Tamandua tetradactyla: one gene and its partner. The protein of the gene in region 1 purifies or fractionates together with the protein of each later gene. This does not show direct contact. Links are inferred from orthologs where the notes say so. Each region holds a gene or a part of one and is shown in the gene's direction. Other genes may lie near its edges. The genes, in order: KSR2 and MAP2K2.

Region 1 (11,421 bases):
GAAGCTCGTGCTGGAAATTGTGGGAAGGAGACTCTGTTTCTAATGGGTTGCTAAGCTCTGGCCATCTCTGTCACACCCTAGGGGAAAAGACACCTACCAAAGAAGCCAACACAAAAGAGAGCAGACCTGAGAGATGGGGAGAGTGACAGGGAGAGAGAGAAGGAAAAGATGGAAGGTGCCAGGTCAGAAGGGAGAGTCTCTCACTTTCTGGCTATCAAAATCACCCTTTTTCCTCAATTGGTTTGTAGTTTTTGCCCCTTGCCACTAAAAGCATACCAACATACCACGGTTGAATGTTTAATTCCCATGCCTATAGCATAGTACCTGGCACATGATAGGCTCTCAATAAATGTATGCGTCAATGCACACTTCCCGTAAGTATGCCTTTACTATGTTTTTTAGTAATGAGATTATATAGATGGAAGAAGAATCAGGAGGCGAAGAGGTGGAGAAATTGGAACCCTCATGCATTGTCCGTGGGAATGTCAAATGGGGCAGCCGCTACGGAAAACAATTTGGCGATTCCTCAATAAGTTAAACATAGAATTGCCATATGACCTGGCTATTCCGCTCCTGGGTATCTACCTGAAGAAAATGAAAACAGGTGTTCAAACAAAAACTCGTCCAGCAGCGCTCATAGACGTTTCATGGTAGCCAAGAGATGGAAGCAACCAAGTGTCCATCAAGAGATGAATGGATAAACAAAATGTGGTACTAGTCATAGAATGGCCTTTCACTTTGTCATAAAGAGGAATGAAGGGGTGATAGGTGCTAAAACATGGATGAACCTTGGAGGCACTATATTGAGTGAAAGAAGGCAGACACAAAAGGGCCACTTATTGTACAATACCATTTTCATGACAGTCCAGAGTAGGGAAGTCTACAGAGACTGAAATCTGAATTCTGGTTGCCTAGAGTTCAGGGAGGCTGTTTCATGAATGCAGGGTCTCTTTTGAGGTGAGGAAAATGCTCTGCTTCTCTAAGTCCTGGGAGAGCGCCACGGCGCCCGTCCTGCCCCCTCCTGAGGGTGCTGTATCTGAAAATTCACAGTATATCGTGACTGCTTCATTTGTAAAGCCAGCACCCATCACTGGTCTACATTGTTCATTACTATGAGCGCAAATGATCCCACGTATCAAGAGGGTACCCTGGCTGCTTGCACTGGAAAATTAAGAGACAGAGGCAAAAGCCCAAAGGGAGAAGAAATCTACGAAAAAGTCTGTTTTCTGATGTTGGCGAAAACCTCATAAGGTTCAAGATGGGAACCGTCTGCCTGTCCTCATCAAAGTTATTTTTTTTTAAAGCATTTTAGATTTGGGGACTCGGTGCGTTAGAGCAGAAACATAAGCATTCTCTGACAGCTATGGGGGATTTGGTTGTATCCTGGGGACTAGCATTCTCTGATTTGTTTATTTAGTTTCTGAAGAAACAGAAAGAAAAAGGAAAAGAGAGAGAAAAGAAATGCCCTGGGAAAGCAATACGCAGAGCCCTTCGAGATGAAGTCAGCATTGGTTTTCTCAGTTGTAGGAACAGTGATAGTCTCTTATCTTTTGATGAGATGTTTCCCAATTTTGTCCCTATTCCCAGTGCAACTTAGAAAACAACACAGCTGGCCCATCACTGATATAACAGGGTGTAAAACAAGACTTTTCCTGTTGACCCAGAACTTCGGCTAAAGTTTTCACAGGTGAGGGCAGTGGAGGACAATACTTCCTCATTCTGCTAAGGGGGGGCCAGAGTGGCCCATTGACCATCAAAAGCCATCAAGCTCCAAACTATATAAGACAAGGTCAAGGTTTTATCCATAAGAGGTTTTGTCGACAGGCCTTGATAGGGGTTTTTCCTTCTCCTTCCTACCCTCAAGTCAAGGGAACACCTTGAAAGGGGCTGGCTGGTCTCTTACTTCTTTGCTGAAGGCTGCCTGGAGCTGTCCCTGTTGGCAGGGTGAGGAGAGAGGGCAGCAGAGAATGTGCTTGCCATTTTGCAGGGCCAAGGTCTGCCTGTTTCCCATATCCAGATGACTAACCAGGAGTATACTTAGGTCTGCATAGTCTTGAAAAGGTTCACCCAAGAGGGACGCCTGCCAGGCAAGGGAACTCAGAAAGAGGACGTGTGGTGCTGCCTGGGGGATGAACTGGAAACCAGTGTGTGAGAGGTTTTGGACATTTGCATTGGGTCCCCAAGAGGTCCCCATGGGATTCTCCAAAGATCCCCTAGTGTGCCCTATGTGACACTCTGGGTGGACACTTGCCAAGACATCAGTGGACATTTGACACCCAAGAGAAAATGATACCTGTTCTCACCTGTTCTCAGGTGAGCTGGTGAGGTGGAGAGAAAGGACAAACACCCCCTGTCTCTACTGCAGATTCCTGAGCCATCCGAGCATCAGATCTGAGTAGGGGAGAGACATATTTCTTGAACTGAATATGAGAATGGAGTTTTTATTGGACTGGACTTTTAATGTCTGAAAATTAGACCGTTATAGTTGAAAGTACTGAAAAGCTGTGAGATCTCCCTAGATCTTGCAAAGGGGCAGGAGAAGGAGATCTGACAATGGGCTAGAGTGTGGAAAGGCTGTGAGAGAAAAAAAAGTAAAGCCAGTGCTTCATTGTTCCCCCGTCCAGTTCAGTTCATTCATTAACCCAGTGACAGTAATTTATTCCCACTATCGATAAAGCCACTGAAACACATATGTCCTTTAGAAGCAGCATGAACTTCTAGGATAAAATACAACAGCAAAAATGTCATCAATTGGCTCCAGCCCTCTAGGCTTGAAATTGGTAGGATTTTCAGTGTGGGGTGCAAATCACCTTAAGTTAGGGGTGCAGGGTAGTTCAGTGGCAGAATTCTCACCTGCCACGTGGGGGACCCACCATGCACTTCCCAAACAAAGAAACCAACAAAAACAAGCAAAGAAAAAATTCAACTGCAATAACGGGATACTCAAATGGAAAAAGAATGAAATGTGACCCCACCATACAGCATACAAAACAAAAAACAAACAAACAAAAAACCTTAGGCTATTCAGGGGTACCAAACACAAGTGCCTGCAGGGGCCAGGTAGGAAACAGAAATGATGAATGAAAAGGACTGGGTGACGACAGTAGTGCCCTGTCTGAAAGGGGTGGCTGCCTCTTAGCTTTAGCCAACTGTTGTCCAAAGTAGCCAGATTTCCAATTTTTATGATAAAAGCTTGGAATTTGCATTTTTGCAGTATCTCTTGATTTTTGAATTATTGGTAAGAACGTAAGCCAGGGTTCTTTGATGCAAATGACACACTCTATTCCAGGTGGTGTAAACATAAATACTTTTATAGGGAAGTTTAGAAAGCCTATAGGATCTCCAGAAGGGCAAAAGAGCCAGGCTTGGGCTATGCAGCCAGGAAGGATGTCCCAATCACACTGCGGGGGCTGCCCCGTCCCCCAGCACAGGCACCATAGCATGCTCTGCTAACACAGAGGACTGGACCCCTGTAAGCAGGTGCATTGGCTGTCACGCTCACTGTCAGATAGTTTCCTCCTCTGTTTTTGCTCAGTTATCAAAAGAAATCTCATGCAGTCTGCTAATGGCAGAGCCTAAGATCACAAGCATGAGACCTGGTTGCAAGAACACTGGGAAAATGCTACAGTTTCTATTACAGAGAATTGGGACTCACAATGTGGGGTATTTTCCAACCTCGGAAAAGTATCCAAAAGAGGCTGGGTACATGCAAAACAGAACAAATGATCCCTGTCTTAACCAATCGAAAAAAAAGATGAGCGCAAACAATGTATTTTGTATGCTGCTTACAGCCCTGCCAGTCGGGACATCTGATCTATGGATTACTTTCATTGTTTAAACTTCTATGTCCTCTGAGAACCACCAGAAAAGTTAGATCAAATCACCATCATCACCATCATCACCATTATCTGCTTAAAGGTATCAGAGAGCTGCTGAAGCAACCAGGACCGGAGGCACCAAGATTCTGGAGAGAAGGGAGCTGTGGCGAGGTGAGCTGACATTCTGTGGCCACCTTTTCCCTGGGGGTATTTACAGTGTCCCTGGGGCATAGAAAAAGAGGCTGAGGGTCTACACTTTTTCCAGGCAAGTGGGAGACAGAGAAATCAACAGAACGCCTGGCAGTCTCACAGTGCTGGAGAGAAAAACTGGGGACTTAAGAGGCTAATATCCCAGAGAGAAGGGAAGTGCAAAAAAGAGTGAGCCTTATACATGGTGATTTTCCTGAAATTCTGAAGCTGTGCAAGGCATGAGGCCAAACACAAAGCCCGTGATAAGCAGAGCAGAGCTTTCAGCAGTCTCGCCATGCTAACAAGACAAGGAGAGGGGAACCTTGGCGACCACCCACGGTCTCAGCTGGAACCCCCGGGGGGCAAAGCCTTAGATGTGGGGGCCAGCCATAGACGGTGTCTTCCAAATCTGCAACCCAGTCTCCGCCCATCTCAGCTCCTGATTGGAATAAGGCCATCAGTCCCCATGCCATCTGCTTTGCAGAGAAGTCCTCTCCAGAGTTAGGTAACATTGCCAGGATCCTCTGTTTTTTTCATACACAATATCTGACATTAAATTAAACTCACAAGGCTTGACAAGGGACAGGCCCAAGTTACTGAAAACAAAGAGAAAAATAGTCCATTGAACTAGACCCACAGGTGAACTGGACATTAGGGCTTTAAAATGCTCATGATGAATATGAAAGAGAACTTCCCCAGAGAAATGAAACCCTTACACTCCCTAGTCCAAAAGACTGAGAGCCTAGAAAACTCATTTGAGTCCCTCATTTACAGAAAGATTTTGAAAAGGCCGTTCAGCTCTGTATGAGCCAATAAAACCCCATGGCTCACCATCTAAGGGGGAAAAGAAGTTTGCTGTCCAAGTTGGCCATCACTGGCTATTTTCTCTACTTCTCAGGTGACCTCCTTTAGGGGAGACATACTGTACCGTGTATTCTGAGTCTCACTCTGTCCAATAGGCCCAGCTCCCTCATATGGGGCTCTGCACACCTGGAAAAAGAGGAGCTATTCATCATAAATACATTCTTCTGGCAGTGCGTGTTGGGAGTACTATGTGATAAGGTGGTCCGGGAGATGAAGCATCTCTGAGATGGCACTTGAGTTGAGTTTGGCTGACAAGAAGGGGTTAGCCATGAGAAGATAAGGAAAGTTCTATCCAGCCACAGGGGAGAGAACCCTAGTGCAAGAGTAAGTTTGGTGATTTAGAGCAGGGATTGTCAAACTTTTTCTGTCAAGGGCCAGAGAGTAAACAGTTTAGATTTGCCGGCTATATGTTTTCCATTGCACCTACTCAACTCTGGTTTATATAGCTCCAAAGCAAAGATAGACAATATATAAATAAGTGATGACTGGTTCCAATAAAAACTTTATTTATGGATACTGAAATGTGAGTTTTGTATGATTGTCAATTGTCAACAAAATATGATTTTTTCCCAGCCATTTAAAAATGTTAAAATCATTCCCAGCCTGGGGTCATAGCTTGCTGACCCATTATTTAGAGAAACAGAAGGAAAGAAAGGTGTGTATGTGTGTATTTAGAGGGGGGTGGGATAGACGGTCGATTAAGTAGGCTGGGGGTCAGATCATGTAGACCCTTTTAGGACATGCTAACAATGAGAATAAGGCAAAGCCCCTATTTCCTCTTTAAGCGGACATCCACCAGCCAGGGTAACTGCTGGCCAGAGAACCAGTTCTGGGAGGCAGCTTCCTACAGTTCATGGACGATCATCAAGTTTGTTTTTTTTATTATTCCCTAGTCAATACGAAAGGACAAACGAGCAAACAGTCAGGCACACGCACACACTGAGCCAGAAAGGCAGGGAGTACGTGCCCAGGTTCACGCTGACATTTCTCCAGCACGCGCTAAGGGTTAAACTTAGGTGCACACCTGCTCCCAGCCCGAGCGCACCTGCTCAGCGGCCCTGTGGCCTCCTCTCGCGAGAGCGGGGCCGTAGTAGTGGCTCCCACCCCCACCCGCCCGCCGGCTCCCTCTCCCCGCCCCACTCCGGCAGCCTCCCGGCTCTCGCACTCTCCCTGCGATCTCCACCGCCCCGGGGGCAGCCTCGGCCGGACGTGCGAGCTCGCTCCCACGTCCCCGCCCGCCGGCCGCCGCCCGCCGGCTCGCAAACACGCACGCCCGGGGGTCAGCTCACTTTGCCACGCGCGCGCCGCGGCCCCCAGAGGACCCGCCCCCTGCTCTCCTCCCACTGCCCCCACCTCCCACTCGTCCCCGCCCCCGGCCCCGCCCCGCCAGGAGCGCTCCCTTCCCCCGCCGCCCCCCCCCGACCAGGTGCGCGAGCTCGCGCGCTCCTCCTCCGCCTCCAGCAGCGGGTCCCTGGCGCGCGGGGGCCGGGGCCCGGCTGGGGCGGACGCGCGCACGGCGCCTCTCCACCAACCCGCTCCCCTGCAGGTCCCTCGCCGGCTCTCCATCCCTCGCCCGCGCTCCCCCGCTCCCCCCAGCCCTTGATTGACAGGCAAGATGTCGGTGTGGAGCGAGGCCGGAGCGAGCGCAGCAGCCGTCCCCCCCGGAGCCCGGCGGCCGCGGCAGCAGCAGCAGCGCGCGGAGGAGGCAGCAGCAGCCGCAGTGGGCGCCGCAGCCGCGGGAGCAGTGCGGGCAGCGTCTTGAGATCGCCCTAAAGCACCCCAAACGGTGGACAATGCCATGTCACTGCAGCTGGGAGGGGGGAAAAACCAGGTTTTTTTTTTAGTGTTTTTTTTTTTTTAACATAAAAAGCCAGCCAGCCAAAAATATATTATTTTGTCCTTCACGGAGCCGGTGTGTAAAGAGTGAGCGCTATTTTCCTTTTCCTCCTCCTCTCCCTCCTCCTCCTCCTCCTCGGTCTCTCCCTCCTCCTCCACCTCCTCCTCCTCCTCTTTTGCCTCCTCCTCCTCCTCCCCCCTAAGTGCACAGACAGCATCACATCACCTGGTTTGCTTCTGAGAAACAGCATCTCTCCTTTTCAGGGACCAGAGACTCAGAGAGAGGAGACATTCTAATGGAGTCTGCCTGATACCCCAAAATAAAATAATAAATTTTGGCTCCTGTCCCCTCCTCCCGCCCCCGCCCCCCAACCCTGTGTGAGATGTTGGGTTTCTTCTTTATGAGACATTGAGAAGTCGCGGTGGTTGGAGAGGCGGCGGGGGTAGACTACCTCCACCCCCCCAGCCCCCCTTTTTTCTCTCTGGGAGGAGGAGGAGGAGGGGAAGGGGGGTTGCAGAGCAAGCGATGGATGGGGAAAACATGACGAAAAGCGAGGAGCAGCAGCCTCTGAGTTTGCAAAAAGCCTTACAGCAGTGCGAGTTGGTCCAAAACATGATAGATCTCAGCATATCCAACCTGGAGGGGCTCAGGACCAAATGCGCTACCTCCAACGACCTCACACAAAAAGAGATCCGGACCCTGGAGGTAGGTGTGCCTACGGGGGGTAAAAAGCAATCCTTCCTTCCCTCCCCTTCCCACCCCCCCCAACCATCCGTTTCCCCTCTGATTGTTTGTGGGGGGCTTGGGGAGGGGGAGAAGGCAGTAAGGTGGACAGGATTCCGTTTTCTGTGATTTATTCTCTTGCAGAGCCCGCACTGGCTGTGCCTGAGCTGTGCCGCTGCGCGTCTACGCTGGGCTGGGTGCCGGTGGTAGTAGTAGTAGCGTTATTCTTTATTTATTATTATCATTGCTGCCGTTGTCGTTATCAGCTCCCGGGGAGGGAGTTTCTTTCTCTCTCTCTCTCTCTCTCTCTTTCTTTTCCGCTTGTGGATTTGTTTATATGCCGCGGGGGCCTGGGTGCTGGGTGACACGCTGGGGATCCGCAGAGAGCCCACATGACCCTGCCATTCTGCAGGTGGGCAAAAGGTGGTTTGGGGCTGGTGAGAGGGGGCTGCCTATAAATAGAGACTTCTTCTTCTCCCGGCCTCTTTCGCATCCCCCCTTCCCCTTCTGCTCCTTGGATTTCGGTTTTTCAATCATGGACATGTCAGGAGGAAACCTGCCGGGGGTGGGGGGAACCCCCATTGAGCTGTCCGTTTCCAATCCAATCATTTTGATGCACTGAGCTGTTGCAGCCCTAAAATGTGTGAAAAGAAAAAAAAAATAAGCCTGGATCTGCACACACAGGTGGTGTGGGAAGAGCCTCTCAACTCTGTGGGTCCTGGAAGGGCTGGTCGGGAGGAGGAGTTATGTTGGGGTGTTGTAAGAGAGTCTCTCCCAGGGAACTTACTGGGGAGTTTGAAGCAGTTTTTTGGAAGAAAGGAGACAGAAGTGGATACAAAGTTAACTCGGAAGATGGCAGAAATGATTTCTTCAGAAGGCCATTTGGGCACTGGAGGAAGGTTGCAAGAGGGATGAAAAGTCTTGCAGTCCATGCATCAGTGGGCATTCCCGTGTTGTAAATGTCTGGAGGGGCCGACTACTCCACTCCCTCAAACCTGCACCAGCTGGACACATGGCTTGATTGAATTTTGAAACTCCCATGAGCTGGCAATTGCAGAAGGCGATGGCAATGGGGCTGGGAGCAAACCAAAAGGGCTCTTCCTTTGGTGGAGTGGGCGTGCGCTGTGCTGGGAGGTTCACCCTTCATTTTGGGCTCATGAGTTTCTAAGGCCTGAACTCTTCAGTGCTCAGTAGATCTCTTAGCCCTCGGGCCCCTCTGCTAGCGTGGATGAGCAGTTCTCTGTTTCCTTTTCGGGTCTTCCGTTTCCTTCTATGCTTTTAAAATCTGGGTGGATGTCAGCATGCGGGAAGGTTATCTGTTTGAAAGAGCGGTTAGTGCGTGTGTGTTTTAATAGGCTGTTTGCTGCCCTAGGTGCGTTTATAGGTGCACCTGTCATGTGAGACGATCCTCAGGAGTGAAAGATAAATGTCAAGTGGTGGGAATTTCGTTGGCAGGTACAGGTATTGCTTTTCTCGGTGCTGGGGAAAGCAATGTGGGCTAGGACTCTGCTGCTGGAAGAAAAAGTGTGGGAAGCTCGGACCCTGCCTTCTGTCTCTGTCTGGACAGTGCTCAAGATCAAATTCCGTTCAAGTGCCCTCAGTAAATAAGTAAATAACTCAAAAGGGCCAGCTTGAGGTATCTCTTCTGTTCCAGTGAGTCAGGAGTCCCAGATGCCAGCTTGTGTCATACTGTGTAAGTTTCTCCAGAGTTTTCCCTTTTCTCTTTTCAACGCATGCCATCCTTCAAAAACTCCTAGAAAGTACTGTTCGTTGCAGTGGGCACTGGGTTTCGTTTCTTCTTTTCTGCTTCATGTGTCTTTTCAGACTGGGAGAGGGAGGCATGGGTATGGTAGGGGTTCCTGGTAACAATGGGGAATGCATCTCTGTGTTAGTTTCTTAGCCTCAGTATGCCACGGAGCATGCCAACCACTTCACCCACATTGCCAGGCAAGGGGCATTAGCAGTTGTGCCGATTTAGGCTTCCCAGATCTCGAGGGCTAGGGTTCGGCCAGCAAGGAGGGGCTGGTAACTCAAGGCCCTTCCAAATCTTGTCAAATCTTACGTTGGCTTTGAATCCACAGGGGTTTCTGTCCCAGCTGGGCTCATTTTATATGTCAAAATCACCGGAGGAGCTCATTAAAATTCAGATACTCAGCTCTTATTGGTTGGGACTGGGGCCGGGGCCTAGGAATCTACATTTAATAAACAGTCTGTGTGGGGGGCTGTAACATTTTTTTTATTGTGAAAAATAACATATATACAAAAAAAGCAAAAAATTTCAAAGCATACCGCAACCATTAGTTATAGAACAGATTTCAGAGTTTTGTATGGGTTACAGTTTTTGATGCATGTTTGCATATAGACACTTTGAGCACTATTAATCCAGTGGGAGAGAATCAGGCTATTTCATCTATTTAATGGTGACACCTCCCTGTTTACAAACACTAAAGTAAGTATTAAATGGAATAAACCATCCCTGAAAACGTAACATTAAGCACAATTTGGCAATATGCATATTTTCCTAAAGGAACAAAAATATACAGCATGGGCTTAGCCTTCAAGGAGCATACTTCAAAGTTAGGGAGTCAATAATATATGATAATTAATAAAATTTGATAATAAATGATAAAGCCTGAACAGTAAATAATATGGAGGACGGTTTGTGGATCAACTAGGAATGTGTTGGGCTGCATGAAATGGAAAACCCCACCACAGCTGTGAGATCAATAATGGCTTATTTTTTCTTATGTAACAAGACTTCTGGAGGTCTGAGGTTGCTTGACTTTGCTCAGTAGGGCAGCGACATCAGGGCTTGATGCCTTTGTGAATTCTCACGGACTTTGCGTTAGATGGCAAGATGGTTCCTGCAGCTTCAGCCATCATCAAGTCTGGTTCAAGGCAGAAAGGAGAAGAAATGTGTAAGTGTGAAGGAATGAAAGCGTTCAAATAAAGAGTCCTCTCGCAGGACATCTCTTCTCTCTACGTGACAGATGACATTTGATTATGTCTTCTTGTCCAGCAGTGGTCAAATGGCTACTCCTAGTTGCAAAGGAGGCTAGGAGATGGGAACGTGGAAACACCGCTGTGATTGGCACGGATTGGTCATGGGCCACTGCCTGGGTTTACCTGTTGCCACCCCGCCCAAGATCGGGGTTCTGTTAGCATGGAAAAGCCGTAAGGAGATCACAAGTGAATATCTAGGAATGTGGGCCCCACAGGGTGTTATTAGGAGATAGTGCAGCAGAGAAGAAAGTTCATGAGCTTTAGAGCAAGACTGATAGCATTTTGTTTTGGCTCTTCTACTTATTTTATCGTGGGCTAGTGATTTAAATTTTCTGACTCATAATTTTATTATTGACCAAATGACATCAACAGGATAACCGTACCTACCTGAGTGGGTGGTTGTGAGAATTAAGAGAGATGACATTTCAAGGGTCTGGCACTGTCCTTAGCACAGCACTTGTAGCTGTTGAATCAATGATTGCTATTATTATGCTGATTATTAGTATAAGGTGTGGAATAGATGACATGGACGGGATTAGTTCAGAGTTGACAGAGAGAAGAAAGAGCTTGGGCAGTTTTTCCAGAGTGTGTTCTGTGGAACCCTAATTCTGGGATGTTAGCATTTATCATTCTTTCAATGGATACTTTTGAGTATCTGCTATGCTCAGCTGCTGCTATGGGTACTGACTGTCCACTAGTGCTCTATAGACAAGACAAGTTCTGTGGTCCATCAAGTCTGGGAAAGGTTGACTTAAACAAAGGGAAATAGGCATCTTTACTGTAGGACACCTCAGAGCCTTTAATGTGCTATAAATGCATTATGAGATCTCAAGAGAGGGTAGAGTCTACTGGGCTTTCTTTTTCCAAGAATATCCCTTGGGATTGGTGTTCCATGGAATTCACTTGGGGAAACACTGAGCGAAGCACTTACAGAAGCCTCCTTGGATGGGGAGATGGGGATTCGGCATGGATGGAAGGATGGGGCGA
Region 2 (10,810 bases), on another chromosome or scaffold:
AAAACTTACATGGGTACTCTACTGTGAGCTAAACCAGAGACTGCTCAGATTTCAGCCGTTATGTGCCCTCATTCTTTTTGATGTGTGCACAGTTCTATGAAATTTTATCACACGTGTAGAGTCATCTAATCACTGCAAACAGGATACAGGCACATTTTGTCACCACAAAGGAACTGCCTTATGCTACCTTTTTATAGTTGTACTGTCCCCCCCACCCCCACTTCCAAGTCCTGGCAATCACTGATCTGTTCTCCATCTCTGTACTTTTGGCATTTTAAGAATGCCCCGTAAATGGAATCAAGCAGAACATAACTTTCTGAGACTGCCATCTTTCAGTTGGCATGCCTTTGAGACTCATGCAAATAAGTATATCAGTAGTTTATCCTTGTGTATAGCTGAGTAATATTCCACTGTGCAGCGTTCCATGATTTGTTTATCTGTTCACCCGTGGAAGGACATTTGGGCTGTTTCCAGTTTGGGGCGATGACAAATAAAGCTTCTATATATATTCACGTTCAGACTTCTGTGCGATACATGAGGCATCTCGGGTAGATACCTCGGAATGTCCTTGCTGAGTTGTGTATGTTTAACTTTTTAAGAAACTACCAAGCTGTTTTCCAGATTTCCAGAGGGGCTGTACCATTGTGTAACCCACCAGGCATGTCTGCGTGTTCCGGTCACTCTGCATCCTTGATAGCACTTGGTATTGTCGGAATTTAAATTTTAACCAGTCTAATAGGTAGTAGCTCATCATGGTTTTAACTTGCATCTCCCTAATGGCTAATGAAGTTGAGCCATTTTAATTTTATAAAAATGGTGTCAGGAGATCTTTTGTACCTTGCTTTTCTCCAAACAACATTATGCTTCTAAGACTTTTCCGAGTTATCGTTTGTAAGTTTTCTGCTGCATAATATCACCTTTTAGACAATCCCAAATGTATTTTTCCATTCTCCCATCAATGGAACCGCGGGGGTTCTGGATTTTTGCCATTGGGGACCCTACTGAACGTGTCTCTAGTGTACTGCCTAGAATGTGCCTAGAAGTAGAATTGCTGCGTCATAGCAATTAAGATAGATTGCTTCTCAAAGCTGTGGGGTCAGCCATTCTTTCAGTTAATCCATCCCGCAGGTGAGAGTGGGAGATAAAGTTCAGGGTGCATTTTGAGATAGGAACAGTGTACAGATGTGATATTAATATTATCTTGTTTAGACTGTGCCTAAACAAGATAAAGGTCACCTTGAGTGGAATCTATCAACAAAGCTATTAGGAATTTATTTCCTGGGGCGGTGGGGTGGGGGTGGGGTGGAGCCAAGAAGACACCCAAATCTGTAGTACATCAGAGAACAGATGTACTAAGAAAGATGTGATTGGAACCAGCGATAAATGGAAATATATGTACCACCAGGGAGAGGTTAGGTAAGAAAACACGCTTGGTGATAAAGATAGAAAGTGGGTGGAGGTTGTAAATCTGCCCTGTAACCTCATGAGCTGTAGAAGTGAATGTTTTATAACAAGCGCAGAGAACCTAGGATGAGCACATGTATTTAATTCATCCTTGCAGCATATATATATCATGCATAAAACATATCCAAGAAGTTGGACTGGGAAAAGAGGAAACAAGTTCCGGCATCTTCCTTGCCCTCAGAAAGTTCAGTAAGTAGAAAGGAAAGCACACTAAAAGAATGAGAACCTAAAAAAGACAAACAATTAGAACCTGTGTCAATGCAACAGGCGCTATCTATAAGCCAGCGACAGATCTATGCCTTGGGAATTCTAGGAAGCTGGGACAAGCAACCAACTCAGGGGATCCGAGGTTGAAAATCCTGTTCACTTTCTGTCCTCAAGAAGAGGACAAAATCCCACTATTCCATTGCGAGGGCAAGTCCCAAAGTAGGTACAAGGGACGACTGTGCAGCAAGAGCAAAGAACAAATTACGGTGGCGTGCTACCTCGTGCGTGAGCTCACGGATGTTGCGCTAAGTAAAACAAGCCAGACATAGAAGAGTTCATTCTGATACAATTCCATCTATATGAAACTCTAGGGACAGGCACAATTTATCCCACTGCCTAAGAATGGGGCATGGTTGCTTAACATGTGAAAAATGTTTAATTAGGTTGAACTTACTAGTAACACAACAAAATGTTGTGACAGTAGCAGGTTATCGTGAGAACACTGAATAGGGCTGAATGCGGTTGGGAGAGGGAAAGTGGTTTTTTTTCTTTTTTTGCATGGGCAGGCACCAGGAATTGAACCCAGGTCTCCATCATGGCAGGAAAGAACTCTGTATGTTAAGCCACCGTGGCCCCACCCAGAAGGGGGAAGTTTAGAGTCATATATATCACCAGAAGCAAAGCTGGAGGTGAAAATATGGGAATGCATAATAGGGAATCTTTTTTTTTTTTAGATTTTTAAAAAAAATATGACAACATACAAACATGAACATTCTTACCATATGATCATTCCATTCTTGGTATCTAATCAATAACTCACAACTCACAATATCATCCCATAATTGTATATTCATCACCACCATCATATCTTAGAACATTTGCATCAACTCAGAAAAAGAAATAAAAAGAAAAATCTCATACACACCATACCCCTTACCCCTCCTTCTCATTAACTGCTAGTATTTCCATCTACCCAGTGTATTTTAGCCTTTGTTTCCCCTATTTTTTTTCTAGACCCTGACCACTCCCTTTCATTGATCACTAGCATTTCAATCTACTAAATTTGTTTTAACATTTGTTCCCCCTATTATTTATTATTTTTAATCCACGTTTTACTCATCTAACAGTAAATCTTGGGGTGGACAATCTCCGCGATTAACTGTAAAAATATATAGAGTTCTGTCATGAACTACAGCAGATGTATGAAATTATTTCAAGGAGTTAGAATAGCGGGGTATATGGAGGAAATGTACTTAGTGCAAACTATGGACTACATTTAACAGTAATATTTTAATACTCTTCCTTTTTAACATTTTTTATTGTGAAATATAACACATATGCAAAAATCACAAAGTACAGTTAACAAGTAGTTATAGAATGGATTTCAAAGTTTGGCATGGGTTATAGCTCAACAATTGCGGGGTTTTCTTCCATCAATAGTAAAAAATGTGCCACACCAAAACTATGGGTCAATGATGGGGGAGGGGATAAGGAGTATGGGCTGGGAGGATTTGGGTTTTATTTTTATTTCTTTTCTGGAGTAATGAAAATGTTCTAAAAATTATCATGGGGATGTATGTGCAACTATGTGATGCTACTGGGAGCCAGTGATTGTATATTTTGGATGGTTTCTATGGTGTGTGACTGTATCTCAATAAAATTGCATTAAAAAAAGCAAAAACTTCTCCTACTGTTAGCACATCTTTCTGCCTTCAGGGTAGCTGGAAATCATCCAAGGTGGGAGTATTTCCACCGTGGAAACTGGCAAATGCTATAAATCAGTCTCCCGTTTTTTTTCTTGTTTGAAAAACGAGATGGGGTGGGGGTGGTGGTGAAGTTGGAGAGGGCACAGAGAAAACTTTCTGGAGTGATGGAAATATTGTACTGCCTGTCTCATTTCAGGGGATGGTTACGTAGATGTGTTCAATTGTAAAAATTCAATGAATTGAACATTTGAGAACCCCATGTTTATTAAATGTAATTGGTAGCTCAATAAAAATTTTTAAAAATTAGAAAAAAAAAGACTACATGTAGCCAAAATTGAAACAAAACAAATATAATAAAAGAAGGGAATGATTGCTGGGCAGGACACAAGGAAACACCCAGTGCTGTGAAAGGACATGGCATTATTTGAGGCCTGAATTGTGGGTTTTTGGGAACAGTGAAGGACAAAGCTGAAAAGGTTCTATTCTAAAGGTGCAGAGCAGACTTAGGGGGAAGCAGATTTAATTCGGGGAAGACCACAACTGTGCAAATGACATTTTGCCACAATGTATGCTTATCTTATGCATTTTTTGTTGTTGTTATCATCAAAATCAACTTTTTTTTTCGTGAAAAATAATATATATACATGAAAGGAATAAATTTCAAAGCACAGCACAACAATTAATTGTAGAACAGATTTCAGAGTTTGGTATGGATTACAATTCCACACTTTTAGGTTTTTACTTCTAGCTGCTCTAAAATACTAGAGACTAAAAGAAATGTCAATATAATGATTCAGCACTCATACTGCTTTGTTAAACCCCACCTTCTCTTTATAACTCCACCATCACCTTCTATCTTTCCCCCGCTCTTTAGGGGTATTTGGGCTATGCCCATTCTAACATTTTCACGTTGGAAGGGGTTGTCAGTAATATGGGGTAGGGGGATGGAACTAGCTGATGTTCTGGAGAGGCTGGGCCCTCTAATTTCAGGAGTTATCTGGACCAGGGACCCATCTGGAGGTTGTAGGTTTCTGGAAACCTACATGCTTGGAAACTACATGCATGGAACCTTCCCAGAATCTTATATTGCTCTAGGTGTTCTTACTATTTTTGACACTGTATCTCTGGTGTCCAGCACAGGACCTGACACATAAAAAGCAAGAAAGTAACCTAAAAAAAGAAAAAAAAGATGGAGGGGAGGCTAATTCGAAGTGGGCAGGACTGAGCCATGGGAGATTGGGGGCCTGGACCTTGGAGGGTGTCATCTGAGCCGGCCTCGCTTTCCACGTGCCTCCCAAATGTGCACACCTACGAAATGTACACAGGTGCTCAGAGATCCAATACCAAGAAAACAAGGGGTGAGACTTTCATGAGGTCAATTCCCCCCCCCCCATTTAAATGACTGTCTTGTATTCCAGGCCACGCGCTTCTCGACTTTGGAGGGATTAAAATGACCCTTCTCTCAGGAAAGAACGGGAATAATTGGCATTAGAGGCGGCGGTGCTGGTAATGGTGGATGAGTGTAGAACACAGAAAATGTGAAAAAGGATAAATCGAATCCGGGCCGGTCTTCACAACTTTTTGCAATTTTACAGATTCACATATGCCCAGTCTGGGATATCTACGAGGCTATAAACGGTCAGACCCGTCTCCACCCCACTCCTCCGAGCTCATCCCCTCCACAGCTACCTCCCCCTACTCTAGGCGCTCCAACCACCCTCGCCCCACCCCATCTCACCCCACCCCTTCCCTCCCCTCCAACTCTCCAAGGCCCGGCGACCCGGGCGCATGCGCACACACCCTGTGGGAGACGAGCGAGAGCGCATGCTCTCGGCAGTGCCTCGCGTAGATCTCTCTGCCCCCTTCCCCTCGAAGCGGGCGGTCTCGGATTGGTGCGCACGCGCGGCAGCTGCGGGGCGGGATCCGGCGCGCCGGTCGGGATTCGCTCTCGCGAGACGTCGCTCGCGATCTCGTCCCTCCCCTTCCCCGCCCTCGGCCTCCCGGGTCCCGCTGCAGCGTCAGCCTCGGTCTGGCCTCCGCGGTGGCGGCGGCTCCTAGGCCTCAGCCCCAGCGCCCTTTCGGCCTCGGTCCGCAGCGCCGCTCACCCTCGGCTGCTTCGGCGCCGGCCTAGGCCGCAGCCGCAGCCGCAGCCGCAGCCCCAGCCCCAGCCCCGGGCTCGCGTCGGCACCGCCCGCTCCCGGCCCGCCCCCTATGGGCCCCGGCTAGAGGCGCCGCCGCCCCCGGCCCGCGGAGCCCCAATGCTGGCCCGGAGGAAGCCGGTGCTGCCGGCGCTCACCATCAACCCCGCCATCGCCGAGGGCCCGTCCCCCACCAGCGAGGGCGCCTCCGAGTGAGTGGTGGGCGGGGCGGGGGTGCACCCTGCGGGAGAGGATGGGGTGAGGGGCGGTCCCTGCGCTGAGAAGACGGGGTGGGGGGACCCCAAATAACGAAGTCGGGGTAAAAGAGGTCCCTGCGAGGAGAATACGGGGGGGGGGGGGGCGAGTAGTGAAATTGGCTTAAAGGGGGTCCCTGCCTGGTGAAGACGAGGTAGGGGGGTCCCCGAGTAGCGAGATCGGAGTAAAGGGGATTGCTGCAGGAGGAAGACAAGGTGGGAGTTTCCTGAGTAGTGAAGGTCTCTGTGGGGAGAAGATGGGGAGGGGGGTTCCCCGAGTAGTGAGATCGGCCTGAGGGGAGTCCCTGCAGGGAGAAAAGTTGTGAGGTTGGGCTGGAGGGAGTCCTTGTGGGAAGATGAGATGAGGGGAAGACCTTGTGGAGAAAAGATGGGGTATTGAGAGTGGTGTGAGGGGCTTCCTGAGGGAAGATGATGGGGTGAGGGTGTCCCTGAGTAGTGAAATGGGACAGTGGGGGGTCCGTGTGGGGAAAAGAAGAGGTGAGGGGGTCCCTGAGTATTAAGGTCAGGGTGAAGGATCTTGGTGGGGAGGAGGAGCTGAGGGGCATTCCTGAGCGGTGAGGATGGGTTGAGGGGTCTTGGGAAGGGGGGCCCCCTGTGGGTCCGGGTGGAATGAAGGGAGTCTGTGAGTAGTGAGGTGAGGGAGGGGTGAGGGATCGTGGGGGAAGGACAGGGTGGGAGGTCCTAAGGGACTCCAGTGGATTCACTGCAGGGAGGGGACAGAGGGAAGGGGACCCCTGAGAAGCCAGGCTTGGGCAAGGGTCCCCAAGGAGTCTGGATGAGGAAGAGGACCCAGAGGAGTCAGGATGGGGAGGGTGAGGTTCAGTAGTTCAGGGTGGGTGGGGGGGTCCCAAGGGAGTCAGGAAGGAGCAAGCCTGAGAGGTCAGGATGGGGGAGGGGTCCTTTAGAGGTGGGGGGTAGGTCCTGGGAAATCAAGAGGGAGGGAGACCTGAGGGGTCATGTTGAGGTCAAGAGCCTCAGAGGGTCAGGACTGGGGAGGGGTCAGATGGATGGGGAGCCTGAGGGGTCTCCAGGTGAAGAACCTGAGACAGTGAAGGAGAAGATACTGCTTAGGGAGGAATTAGACCTCTGGGAGGCGGAGGTGGGGTGGATGGGGGGGGGGGTTCTCTGAGGAAGGGAGGGGCATGTGCCCCAGAAGGGCAGGGAGTATGGGGAGAATGGGGAGGGGTTGAGGAAAGAGGTGGGAGAACCCGCTGGGAGCTGAGATTCTGAAGTGAAGGGCGGGGGGGGGGGGCAACTAAGGGAGCTGGGGGTGTGAGAACTGGGGGTGAGTGGGTGGATTTCCACAAAGCCAGGGACAGGGTCCTGAAGAGGAGCAGCCCAGGGGCAGTGGGGTTCCAAGGTGGCAGTTGTGCAGTGTGTGGGCGGGGGGAGAGGGAAGCATGGAAATCCGGGACAAGGAGTGATGTAGAAGGTTGGGTGGCACGTAATGGCAAAAGCCAGGGGCCTGGAAGTGCTTAGCCCCAGGCCACACCCCTAGACCTCCCCATTCCTGTTCCTGCTGGAGCGGACCGCAGTTGTTGTAGGTCCAGGTGTGAGGGCAAGGTGTGTGTTCCCATCCCACCTGGGCCTTCCAGTGGGTGTGTGCATGTCTGCTCACACCGTTCACCAGCACCAGCGTTCTACTTAGAGACCTGCTTCTTAATTCTTCCCAAGAGAGTGCTTTCTTTTCCAAGGCTTCCGATTTCTATCCCATCAAAAACTCCCCCAACCCAGATGGCCAGCCCTTGAAATTCCAGGGTTTTTGATAACCTCAGTGGAGTTGCCATTCAATTTCAAATGGATTCATCCGCTGACTCCGGGAGGCATTTTGGATGTCAGGGGGCCGATTCAGGAGCCTTCCCGGTTCTGGCCTCAAAGCTGGCTCTTGATCCTGTCACTGGCTGCAAGTCCCCGGTGAACTGTGCCACATGTATTCATTCCTTTGTCTGCCCTCTGGCCTCTATCAGAGAGACCTTCTTGGGACTCTCTGCTCCAGGTCTTGATTGACAGGCATTCAGCAGGCTCCTACCAGGTCGTCCAGTCCTGGCCCAGGGCATTACAGACTCGGGCAGGGATCATGGGTGGGAGCCGGAATGCCATAGGTTCATTTCAGGCACTGCCACTTCTAAGGGCCATGGCCTCAGGTAAGCTCCTGAGCCTCTATGGGCCCTTGCCTCCCAGGACAAGTTGGTCTTCACAAAGCCCACAGCTCCTGGCATGTTAGTACATGCTTGAAAAGGGGTACCCAGCTAGCCACAGGCCTCCTAGAAAGCTCTTTGCTGCAGTAGCTCAAATGACTCCTCCCAGGGTTGAGTCGCAGATTTGCCCACCCCAACCCCCAAGGTACTGTGCTCCCGCCTCCTTAAGTTGTACGTAATGGTTGGACTTCAGGATGGGAAGGTTCCCAAAGGTGAATCACATCTATCCACCCTTCTGTCCCCTCCTTGAATCCCCTTTATGGCATCTCCCACAGGTGGGCATTCAACCTGGGCTTAAACATTGCCCTAGTCTCCTCAGGCTGCTGTATAGAGCAACCCAAACTTGGGCCTTAAAACATAACGGAATTATGTCTTCTCCCAGTTGCTCCCTAGGAAGCCTGTGGGGAAGAATCTCTTCCGTGCCTCCTCCCTGGCTTCTGGCGGTGGCCTACTGGCAGTTCACGGTGGTCTGTCATCCGTGGCCTTTTCCCCTTCTTATAGGGAGCCCAGTCATGGTGGATTAAGGGCCCATCCTACTCCAGTATGACTCATTTTAACTCACCTGGTTCCATCTGTATTTTCAAATAAGGTCCCATTCTGAGGCCCTGGAGAATTAAATCTCAACATATCTTCTTGGGGGGCACAGTTCATTGCATATCAGAACCTTCAGGAACTGCTGGTCTGAACCCACTGTACCCCCATATTCTCCCTAGAATCTGCTTGGACCTACCCCAGCTAGTCCACCGGCCTGGGCCACGGAACGCACTGAAAGTACAGTGTGTTGATATCTCAGCATAAAATCCATCCCAGATTCTAGAGCCTTCGTAAGGGGGAAGAAAGTCATGTAAAGGAGAAACTCGTTAATCTTTTTACATTGATTATATGCTGGGATGATAATAGTGATGTGCTGATTTAAACAAAGTATGTCCCTAAAATTAATTTTGCCTGTTTTGTTTAGTTGTTTTTCTTTGACCATAGCTACCAAAACATTTTAATCACACACATGGTTCACAGTCTTACTCTTTTGGACCTTAGTGGGTTTGTCCTTCCAGACAGTGAGCTAAAGTCTATCTCCCTATTACAGGGATCTGCTTTTTTCTCCAGGATTTCATTCAAAATCAAGGCATTAGTGAAAATAGCTTATGGTCAGTTTCCTTTGAAAATTCCTTAAATCATCCAACAAAGGGTGAACTATTCTCCTCTCCCCCACCCCCCAAGCATGTCATCTATGGGTCTATTATTTTTTTAGAACTGGGTTCAGGAATGTGCATGTTTACAGTGACCTCCTGGATATAAGGAGAGCAGTCTTGATGAGTGGAAAGCCTTGGCATTCCTGCACAATTGATGCCTTTTCCCTCCTCAATGTTGTTAAATTAAATGCTTGGATGTGGAACTTCTGTCTTCCACCCGTGGAAGTTTTCTCATTCTCCCTGAGGCCATTTGAACCAAATTTGCCCCTCTGCCTGTTGGAAGACAGGCCCATCACTCGTTTCCCAAGTCTCACCTTTCCTTTTAAATGAGTCAGGAGCCATTGTACCAGGATGCAGGACCCCTGGGTCTCAGTCCAGGATCAAGAACCTGGAGGTCCTGGAGGTCCTGAGGTCCCTTGGGAACAGGCTTTGCGGCTGTGCCCTCCATTCCCGAGGAGCTGGCCTTCTGTTGCAGTCAGTCCTGTACCTGCAGGGGTGTACCCGCCCGCAGGTGTCTTTCTTGTCTAAATTGTCAGCCCTTCGAGTGCAGAATGGGTTCCGCTCATGTCTGTACCCTTCCAGCCACAAACCCTGGTGCACATCGGCCCCACAGTCCACGCGGGTCACCTTGACCCATCTCTTGGTGACTTGCTCATTCCTTACTAACCCTTGCCCTTGGGGTCTCTGCAGAGCAAACCTGGTGGACCTCCAGAAGAAATTAGAGGAACTTGAACTAGACGAGCAGCAGAAGAAGCGGTTGGAAGCCTTCCTCACCCAGAAAGCCAAGGTTGGGGAGCTGAAGGATGATGACTTTGAAAGGATCTCGGAGCTGGGTGCCGGCAATGGTGGAGTGGTCACCAAAGTCCAGCACAGACCTTCAGGCCTCATCATGGCGAGAAAGGTGAGAGGCCGATGACTGGGCGGGCCTCTGTTCCCTTGCCCGGTAGAGGGAATGTGATGGGGACGGGTCTCCCTATAAATTGGAGAGAGGCTTGAAAGGCACCTGGAGCTCTCCTTTCTGAGCTTGAGGCCCTTCTCTCCAGCAGTGGGTCCCGAGAAAGAGCACGGGTTCTGGTGAAGATGTGGCAATATTCCCTGACCTGATGCAACTCTTCCCTTCAGCTGCATACTTCTGCCTTTGAGAACCTTTTAAGTTCACATTCCCGCAAGCTTACCAGGCTGTTTGTGGCTTGGCTTGAGGAAAAGATAGTAAGTAGTTTTCTCAAAGTCCCTTTAAAGCTGGCATCAGCTTTTAGGTAGGAGGCCCTGCAGACCCAGATGGCTGGGCAGGGGGGGGGGGTCCAAGGGTGGGGCCAGGTTTCTGTGCACCCTGAGTTTGAGAAGTCCCAAGCCCCACTCATCCTCTGGGTCCCTGTGCCAGGATTTGGCCTCTTCTCTGAGCGAGGGAGTGATCCTGGGAGATGTAGGAGGCCCTGAGGATGAGAATGTGACCATTTGAGGAGGGTGACCTCTAGACCCATTCCCGGGTATGCTACTTATTGACAGATTGTTCCACTCACACAAGTGGGTTCTTTCAAACTTTAAAAACGGCCTCTCCCTGGAAGCCCCTCACCCTGCGGTTCTCTAAATTGCACTCTCAGAAATCAGACCGTGCTCTGCCCGCACGGATCT

The links.
Region 2: the proteins of KSR2 (region 1) and MAP2K2 purify together in Homo sapiens (affinity purification with mass spectrometry; 3 studies listed by BioGRID and IntAct, with this or other methods). This does not show direct contact. The link is inferred for Tamandua tetradactyla from reciprocal best matches to the Homo sapiens genes KSR2 and MAP2K2.

What each region holds. Positions count from the first base shown.
Region 1 is NC_135331.1:18,274,120-18,285,540, reverse strand, and holds the start of KSR2 (kinase suppressor of Ras 2), read left to right. Parts: upstream 1-7,233; coding exon 7,234-7,413; intron 7,414-11,421. UniProt on the Homo sapiens protein: Location-regulated scaffold connecting MEK to RAF. Has very low protein kinase activity and can phosphorylate MAP2K1 at several Ser and Thr residues with very low efficiency (in vitro).
Region 2 is NC_135337.1:77,913,270-77,924,079, forward strand, and holds the start of MAP2K2 (dual specificity mitogen-activated protein kinase kinase 2), read left to right. Parts: upstream 1-5,570; 5' UTR 5,571-5,635; coding exon 5,636-5,727; intron 5,728-9,868; coding exon 9,869-10,079; intron 10,080-10,810. UniProt on the Homo sapiens protein: Catalyzes the concomitant phosphorylation of a threonine and a tyrosine residue in a Thr-Glu-Tyr sequence located in MAP kinases. Activates the ERK1 and ERK2 MAP kinases.